Schizosaccharomyces pombe: one gene and its partner. The protein of the gene in region 1 interacts with the protein of each later gene in a pairwise test. Each region holds a gene or a part of one and is shown in the gene's direction. Other genes may lie near its edges. The genes, in order: sec74 and eno101.

Region 1 (5,849 bases):
CAATTGCTCAATTGAATATTTAAAGCAGCGATAGAAAGAGGAAAGAATGACGGTGGCGCCAGTAGATACACTCAACGAAAAGAAGCTAAGCCCAATTCGTAAATCTAGATGTTAGGAGCTGAGGTTTATTAACTAAAAGAGGTTATTTAACAATGCGGATGGCTTATGGACTTTGCTGGAAAGCGTCAGACAGCGAAGTCAACGAATCGTATGAGCCGTTTTATTACAATACACTAAGGAAAGAAGGACGGGGACCTGAAGGAGAAGAGAAACTAGAATAAAAGGCAATAATGTAAATGACAAAAAAAATTTACTTCTACAAACGAATCTATGAAATTGCAATTCTGCAACTTTATGAAATCCAAATAAACCCGATTAATTTGGAAAAAAAAAAAGTCTTAGATTAAGTAAAATTTAACAATTGATCTCAATTGAGTCCTTGAAATTCTTTTCGCAAGCAATTTCGTCTCACAATCGCTCGATTCCAACTTCACTTCCTGTTTAGATGTAGCAAGAAGAAGGTAAGAGGAATTCTACCGCTACCACCAATATTACTGCTTAGTTTACTGCTAACGTAGGAGAATTACTAACGTACTTCGGTAATAAATTTATGACGCCCTCAATGCCAGATTTTCCTTGCTTTACTAATACCGAGAAACATGATTAATTTGCCATTGATGACAGAATGTCCGACTAAGAATTGCCAAGTAGACTTCCACGCCAACGAGCAGTGTTGAGTATGGGAATGGCAATACTAAGTATGAAATGCCGCTACGTTACACTTGGATATTAGTAATTCGAGCAAACTGACCTGCCAATTTTAAGGATGAATGCGTTTCCTTTGAGCTTTATAGCTGGCGAAAATAAGTTTCTACAACTCTTGCAACTGTTACTTATCCATCTCATTTAGGTAGCGTGGCAGCAGGAGCGGAAGAGTGGAAATAGAGAAAAGGTTTGATAGAAAAGATAGTAAAGAAGTACGGTAGGAGATTGACGGAGGAATGGAAGTATTGAGAAAGGTTGAGTTGAATGAATTGTAGAGACGGTAGTTCAAGTGTGCGAAACGCAATTGCTTGATGGTGCTGTAGCTATCATACTTTGTCTTAATAGGTGACCTTTGGAAACTTGAGATCGACGAATCTTCAAATGTAAAATACTAAAGTGGTAGGGAATTCTTAAGTGCGCAAATTCAATATTGTAAGTGAGTCAGTTAGTTTTGCAGATGAACGATAAAAGAAGGGTTTTGCAATTGATAAAACGCGATTTAAGAAAATGACTGCTAAAGAAATTCAATGAAGATTATTGAGTGAACGAACGGTTGTTGAAAGAAATGCTTTTTCTTCGGAAAACCACCAATTCAATTTACATGTCAATTAATTTCATAAACTTACAGTATCTTTAATCATAACCGTTCTGAGTGTGAAAAAAAAATCATAAATAGAGATGGATTTTTCTATTAATATATGCTTCTCAGCAATTACTAATGGAATAAATGTTTTCATCAATTCGAGTTCCCAATATGCAGATTGAAGGGAAATTAAAGGAAATTCAAGAAACAATCTTACTAAAAAAACTTTCAATACTATGTGAATCGAAATTTCGTTTGTACTCCTTTAGAATATTTTTCTTCGCAAGCAATTTTTGTATTTATCCACTACATCTAGCAATGTTTCGCACAATTGGCTTAGAAAGTTCAATTCCTCCTACAAATACTTATTTTCAATGCAATTCTTTATTTTTCATTAATAGTATATAACTTACTATATGTTTTTTCTCTTAATGTTCTTCTTCATCATTTTTTAGTTCTTTCCATCCATTGTTTACATTAGGATTAACTAGTCGATCCACCCCCACATAAGTCCTCTTTTTTATGGGGGCACTTGCCTCTGCGTTCAGTATTACCAATGCCCGCCTCGCTGCGTACCATTGAATCGTTACATCGTTTCTCACTCATCTTCCACAGTCAATATTTACCCCCCTCATCCTATCATTCAAGGCATAATTAGTTTTATTCATTTCTTGTGCTTAGTAGGGAAAAATAGGTTTTTTAAGTCTTTTCCTCTTTACTGCTTTGCCATTCCGTCGTCTGCTGTAATTATACTCTTCAAGAATCGCTCTCTTCTTCCAAAACGAACTGCGGCTATGATCTACGCTTTTATTATTTAAAAACTTCATTTTTCGCTGAAAAGATACTCTTTTATTTTTTTGTTTAGAAAAGAGAACCCTATCAGTTAATCACAATCATCCTGTGCAATTGCTTCTTCATGAAGTTTGATGTCGTTTGTGTTGCTCAGGGTTTTCGAGACGCATTTTTGTTTTCCAGGTTCTGAACTCTTTAATCGTAGGAAATTTTAAAAAAGTTTTTTTTTTATTTCTTTTAATAAATTTAAAATTCCCTTTTTAATAGAACATGGACGAATCTTCTCGTATAGCTTCTTCTTCCGCTTTGCATGGTTTAGATGAGATGGTTTCTGCTCATAAGCCGTCTCCTCCCCTTCCTTCCCGGAGAAAGGGTAAGTCTGCCCTGCGTAGCGCTTTGGAGAAAAAAAATAGAAAGTCCAAATCTAAGCCAAAAGTTACGATCACTTCGGACACCCCCAAGGTCTCCTCTCAACACTCCCCAGTCTCTTCCGCATACACCGGAGATTCGACTACCGATTTGGATTCAAAATCTGGTCACTCCTCTTCCCAGAAACTTTCCAATAAAGTCTCTTCAGCCTTGAAGCTCACCATACCGAAGCGTTGGCGCTCTTCCAAATCTAGCTCGTCACAATGCTCCTCCCCTTTCTTACCAACCTCCTCCTCCAACGGACATGGCGATGATGCATCGTTGAACTTGCCTGATAAAAAATCACGTCCTTCTAGTCAGTCTTCAATCTTTCTTTCCAATTGGTCGACAATCTTTTCCTCAAATGCTAGTCCCACAGATTCGCAGTTATCTCCAACGCATACCTCTACCATCGCTGAGTTAGCTGCTTCTACTCTTTCAATTTTTCCATCCGGCTCTTATGCGGGCTCGACATTCGGATCTCCTTCCCGTTCTTCAATCGACTCCTCTACCTACTTACCTCGTTCGAAGTCTGTAAATTCTCTTTCTTCAAACTTCAGTGCGCGAACGCCGGCTTCAAATCAGTCTAGCGTATCTGAAGATTTTGGTGCTGCACCAAATTGTGACCATAAACATAATTCTGTTACTCTTTCGGATTTCGCACTGCCAGATATAGATCAGCATGACACCGTTGAAACCATCTTGGAGAAGGTGGAATTTACAATTCCTAAGCAGTTTACTCCTGCCATATTGTCGCAGGGAACTTCATCACTTCTAAAACTTTGCCTGAGAAAGTATTTGTCTGTGGTCAACTTCAAATGTATTTCGTTAGACATGGCTCTTCGCAAGTTTCTTGCTGTCTATGTTCTTCCTAATGAGACCCAGCAAATCGATAGAGTTTTGAGCACATTTTCAGACCAATACTTTCATTGCAATCCCGATTTATACGATTCTTCTGATGAATGTTACATACTTACGTTTTCTTTAATGATTTTGCATACGGACTTTTTCAACATCCATAATCGACAAAAGATGACTCGTGCCGAGTTCATCTCTAATACTAATTTGCCAACCATTCTTCCAGAGATATTAGAATGCTTTTACGATAATATTACCTACACTCCATTTGTTCATGTAGAGCATATTGGTTGTGTTGTGACTTCTCCTTCTAATGAAAAACCATCTTTGTCACAAAGACTAGGAGATTCTCAATTTCGTCTTACTAAACGAAACACATTTGCTACCGAAAGTGACCATCAGGCTTTACAAGAACAGTTGACGGGTTTCCGTATTAATCTAGATTCTATATTAGACTTAAAAAAAATTGACAGTGTCCGTACGAGTATTGAATCTCCTACTCGCACTGCTGATGACTTATACAAAGAGTTTGCTAGAGCCCCATTTTTGCAGATCGTCTCGCACCGATCACAGCCCCAAGCGTTTTCTTATCACTTTGAACCGAGTGCAGAAAGCGAAAGCACCAATCCTGCGATAATAAACGTCAAAGTTTTCAAACTTGGCATACTCATTCAAAATGAGAAGGTTCGAAAAGATCGCCTTCTTTCCAACAGAGAGGTGGGTGTCATTTTAACAAGCTCGCAGTTGATGTTCTTCAAAAACGTATATTGGATAAGTGGATTACTGGATCAGTTGGAAGACTTCAAAAGATCTCATTCTTTTTCTCCTTGCTATTTTTCGCCTCATTTAACTTCACTTTCTGCTGATTACATTATCCCATTGTCTGATTTAGTTGCATACGGTGATGGTTCTCGTATAGAAAATGAACTGTATTCCTTCAGTGTCAAGCAAAAAAATCAGAGAACTCATGTCTTTTCTGTTACTAATGTAGACGAATTAAATGACTGGTTGGTGAAGATAAATTTTGTGAGTACGTTTGCTACTGCGGGTCTAGCTCCTCGTGAGAGGCTTCCGTGTGTTGAATCGTCTGATAAGAGCATCAAGGCTTCCGTTAGTGTTCTTCCCGACATATACGAAGATTCGGATGCGATGTCGAAAGCTTCAAAGGAAACCAGGAGTGAAGTATTAGAGTGTTCCAAAGTTCGTGTGTATATTGTGCAAAATAGAATTTATAAATTAGAAGAAGCTTTAAGGCAGGGGGAATCAAAAATGACTGTACAGAGAAGAAATGCTGCCAATATATTACATCTTGAACCTATTCAATCTCGGACCCGAATTCGTTTAGCAAGATGTTCGAATACGTTGAAGAAAAATATGCTAGCCCAGATGATAGAAATTCAGAAATTTAAAATTTCTATTAAATTCTTGAAGGAGGATTTAGAAATGGACAGTCATCTACAGGATTACCTTCGATCTGTTTTCCCGTCTTCCGTTATGGGAAAAGAAAATGCTAGTGAAGATACAATTTTGGAATCTAATTTCCGTAACCACTCAAATCCTAGTGTTCGAAGAAGCAATCTACGAGTTGGTAAGACTGTGGAGTCTGTGCAAAATACGAAATTGAAGTCAGTTGAAAACGACTCTGGAAAAGCAGAAACTGAGACTGTTGGAAAGAATCCTGAGGTAGTTAGGAAATCGCCTGCTAAATTGCCGAATATTGCTAATATAATGACTGTGAATGGACATCGTTACAGTGTTGTTGAACTCCCCGATGATTTTTTGCGTGAGTAGAGCTATCGTTTGACTTTACAAATTCATTTTTTTAACCCCTTAACTCCATCTTTGGCTTCAGTCTTCTTCCAGTGTTTCCATTTAGCATGTATATTACTATTTTCCTTGTCTGAGGATTAATTTTACTAATTTAAATTTTTTGTTCATATTCATCGCTTTACTGTAATTATTGTGCTACTTTTTATATATAATGAAGATTTTGTAAGCGATAATCCTGTTGTAGTGTTAGGACCTTTTACTTCATAAAGTGTAGAGTGCATCGCTAATGACCGACGCAAACTGTAACTAGAGCGATGGATGAGAGGCGCGAGGAATTGTCTGCAAAATCGACAGTGCAAAATGTTAAGATATCGGAAGCTCCAATCTTAGACGGAAAAGTTAATAATGAAGACTCCCATATGGAAATTGATCAGCCAGAAGGCTCAATGGAAGAAGATGACCATCGTCAAGTAAAAGAAAAGAACACCAGTGAAAACTCAGTCGAACAGAAACGAGGAAGAAGGATGTTCGGAGCTTTACTGGGAACTTTGGGCAAATTTCAGCAAGAGTCGGAACGTGAGCAAAAATCTGCAAGGAAAGTTAAACGCGCGGAATTGGAAGAAAAACTTGCGAAAAGGAGAGAGCAGGAGCTTCAGGAATTAGAAAAACAAGA
Region 2 (3,813 bases), on another chromosome or scaffold:
GAAAAAAAAAGAAGCCTGTGATCAATAGTATTGTATTTGATCGAAATTCAAACAAGATTTCCAAACATTACTCTACGGTACATTTTGAAAAGAGCAAAGTATTTGTATGTCAGGCAAGGGTCAGAGTCGAGCTAGAACCAGAGTCATAGTAATAACGAAAGTCATAGCAATAGCCAAACCAAATCCATAGTCAACGCTACTAGAGCCTTCGCGAATATGGACCAACTCGTGACACCGGGATGCTTGCACATCACTACACTTGTGTTTGCTGGTCCGCGTTAACCTTGTAGTGAATAGCATGCTGAGTTTCGCTAACGCGCTGCTCCGTGTCGCTGCTGTGAATCTGATACAGCGAGCGGTTGGTGCAGAGCCAGGAGGATTAGCGTCCAAAAGACGAGACAAGACGAGGCGAGGGACAAGAAATGAGAACAAAGGGAAGAGAAGGGACACAGAGGAAGGATCGACCAAGCAGATGTTTGCAATTGAGTAGTAGTGAATTCAAAAAAAAATTTTTTTAAAGTATTTTATTCTCAATGTTTAAATCCCGTCTGTAATGTGATTCTCAAGTAGAGTGAGTTGATGTGATTCTCTGACCCACCATAACCTAACCTAACCTAACCTAACCTAACCTAACCTAACCTGACCTAACCTGAGCCTGTATATCATTCTCTATCCCATCCTGTCCTGTCTTGGTCGTACTGTCCTGCGCTGGCCTAGTTTGCTTTGCCCTGCCTTGCCTTGCCTCGTTTTGCTCACTCCTTCCCTTCATTGCGCACTCTTGCCTCCCATTGCCCTCCACTGCGATTCTCTTGCAACTGCCTGCTGCACCGACCGCCGCTTCATTGCGATGGTCTGCTTTGCGGCAATTTCCATCCGTGCGGTAATGCCCGTTTCGTTACGTTACCTCTGGCGTGATCGTTAGGGTAGTCAAACTGTGTCCCGTATGGCACCATGAAGTTTCTCCGGATGGAACTATCCTGATGTTTATCTGTCCAACCAATCCATCCTGCAACAAGATTTTCCCCTCCAATCACAACATTTCTCCGGCTTTGCACTTGCTAAACCTTGATGACATCCTACCACTGACATCCGCGAATCAAGGGACCTCTCGGAACAACTGATCTCATGAACCCGTCCGCTTTTGCCTTTATCTGCATCACCCGAACTGGGCGACTGAGGGAAGGGTGGGGCATCAAGTAACGCTCCTTTCTCGGTGGTTTCCTGCACTGAGCAACGAACGGTACATGCAGCGACGAGGTTGTTGTCGCTGACATTCGTCAACAAACATACAAAACGGCTCGCTTCGTGTATTGACGTCCGCGTAATTTCGCTGCTTCTAGCTCCCGACCTTTTCCAAAGATGGCCCTCCTCCAGATTACTCACGTTGTAAGCAACTTTTGGGAACACTGTTGATTACTTGGCAAAAAAAAACACTTGCCATATAGTTGGTTCCTCTTTTGACCACCTACCTAACATTACCTTTCTCTCTCTCTCTCTCTACCAACAACCACACCACACCACCACACCACTCCATACATTACATTACCTTACCACACTCACTTCACTTCATCTCCATCTCTTGCCCCTTCTAAGCTCGCTGGACTCGCACATTGGCTACGGTGGCTCGCGTCGCTCGCTTGGTCGCTCCTTCAACGTACCCTAACGTTCCGGTTAACGATTCTTAAAGAAGCGACCAATTTGTTCCACCGGCTTCTGTGGGCTCAGGGGCATGTCATGGAAGATTGAGAGGATCGGCGCTTCCTCCAGGTATATATAGAGTGGAAGGGCCGTCCGTTAGGACTTGTTTCAGTAAGAATCAATTAGTATTCTACAGTAAACATCGTTAATCATGGCCATTCAGAAAGTCTTTGCTCGTCAAATCTACGACTCTCGTGGTAACCCCACTGTCGAGGTCGACCTCACCACCGAGACCGGTATCCACCGTGCTATCGTCCCCTCTGGTGCCTCCACTGGTATATGGGAGGCTCTTGAGATGCGTGATGGTGACAAGACCAAGTGGGGTGGTAAGGGTGTTTTGAAGGCTGTTGGCAATGTCAACAACATCATTGCCCCTGCCGTCGTTAAGGCCAACCTTGACGTTACCGACCAAAAGGCCGCCGACGAGTTCTTGCTTAAGCTCGACGGTACTGAGAACAAGTCCAAGTTGGGTGCTAACGCCATCTTGGGTGTCTCCATGGCTATCTGCCGTGCCGGTGCTGCCCAAAAGAAGCTCCCTCTCTGGAAGTACATTGCCGAGAACTTTGGCACCAAGGGTCCCTATGTCCTCCCCGTTCCCTCTTTCAACGTCTTGAACGGTGGTTCCCACGCTGGTGGTGACTTGGCTTTCCAAGAATTCATGATCCTCCCCACCGGTGCTCCCTCTTTCTCCGAGGCTATGCGTTGGGGTGCTGAGACCTACCACACTCTCAAGTCCATTGCCAAGAAGCGTTATGGTTCTTCTGCCGGCAATGTCGGTGATGAGGGTGGTATTGCTCCCGATTTGCAAACCCCTCAAGAGGCTCTTGACCTTATTGTTGAGGCCATCAACAAGGCTGGTTACGAGGGTAAGATCAAGATTGGTCTTGATGTTGCCTCCTCCGAGTTCTACGTTGACGGCAAGTACGACCTTGACATCAAGGCCGCCAAGCCCAAGCCCGAGAACAAGCTTACCTACCAACAACTTACCGACCTTTACGTCGAGCTCTCCAAGAAGTACCCCATTGTCTCCATTGAGGACCCCTTCGACCAAGATGACTGGTCTGCCTGGACTCACATGAAGGCTGAGACCGACTTCCAAATTGTCGGTGACGATTTGACTGTTACCAACGTCAAGCGTCTTCGTACCGCCATCGACAAGAAGTGCGCTAACGCTCTTCTTTTGAAGGTCAACCAAATCGGTTCCGTCACCGAGTCTTTGAACGCCGTCCGCATGTCCTACGAGGCTGGTTGGGGTGTTATGGTTTCTCACCGTTCCGGTGAGACCGCTGACACCTTCATCTCCCACTTGACTGTTGGTATTGGTGCCGGTCAACTTAAGTCTGGTGCTCCTTGCCGTTCCGAGCGTTTGGCCAAGTACAACGAGCTTCTCCGTATCGAGGAGGAACTCGGTTCCGAGGGTGTTTACGCTGGTGCCCATGCTGGCAAGTACATCAAGGCTGCTAAGTTTTAAACTCTGAGCATACATTAAATTTTACTAATGTTTACAATACATGTTTATTTTTATAGAATGCAATGAAATTTTTATCCTTTTTGCGTTTTGGATTAATTTGCCAGGTTGCGTGTTTATTTATTATTAGTATTAAAGTAAACTGTTGTTGTAGTAGAAGTAGCTGATATAATTGTTTTGTGCTAATTTGCATCCTTTTTTTTTTTAGATGATCATTTTAGTTTTCGTTTATATAGTGTTTTTTTTTCAATCATCTTAATTTTTTTTGGAATGTGTGCATCTGCTGTAAAACACAGAAATTTGTCTTTGACCTAGTACATATTTTTATGTGTAGCCAAAATTTTTGGATACCTTTGCTCTTTATCAGTCACTTTACTACTACTAACACTGGAAAATGTTCTATTCCTCAGCATCTTACCTACTAGTATTTATAATATTCATCAACGTAGAATGAAAATAACAATATTATTAACATAATTCATCTACATTACAATAGTAAAATATTGAACCAGAAAAGCCAAAAAAAAAAAAGCATATAGAAAAGGAAATCATTTGTACAGAAAAGTCATGAACGAAAAACATGTCATAAATTAAGGACCGTATAGGCTTTATGCATTTAAGTAAAAAAAAAAAAAAAAAGAACAGCA

The links.
Region 2: the proteins of sec74 (region 1) and eno101 interact in a two-hybrid assay, tested with the Schizosaccharomyces pombe proteins (one large-scale study listed by BioGRID).

The regions. Positions count from the first base shown.
Region 1 is NC_003424.3:5,182,270-5,188,118, reverse strand, and holds sec74 (guanyl-nucleotide exchange factor Sec74), read left to right. Parts: upstream 1-1,959; 5' UTR 1,960-2,410; coding exon 2,411-5,197; 3' UTR 5,198-5,345; downstream 5,346-5,849. Other genes in the region: pnn1 (putative pinin-like protein ppn1), read left to right, coding at 5,491-5,849. UniProt on the Schizosaccharomyces pombe protein: Guanine nucleotide exchange factor for Arf GTPases, stimulating the nucleotide exchange from the GDP-bound to the GTP-bound form. Involved in vesicular transport.
Region 2 is NC_003423.3:2,199,388-2,203,200, forward strand, and holds eno101 (enolase), read left to right. Parts: upstream 1-1,808; 5' UTR 1,809-1,849; coding exon 1,850-3,169; 3' UTR 3,170-3,265; downstream 3,266-3,813.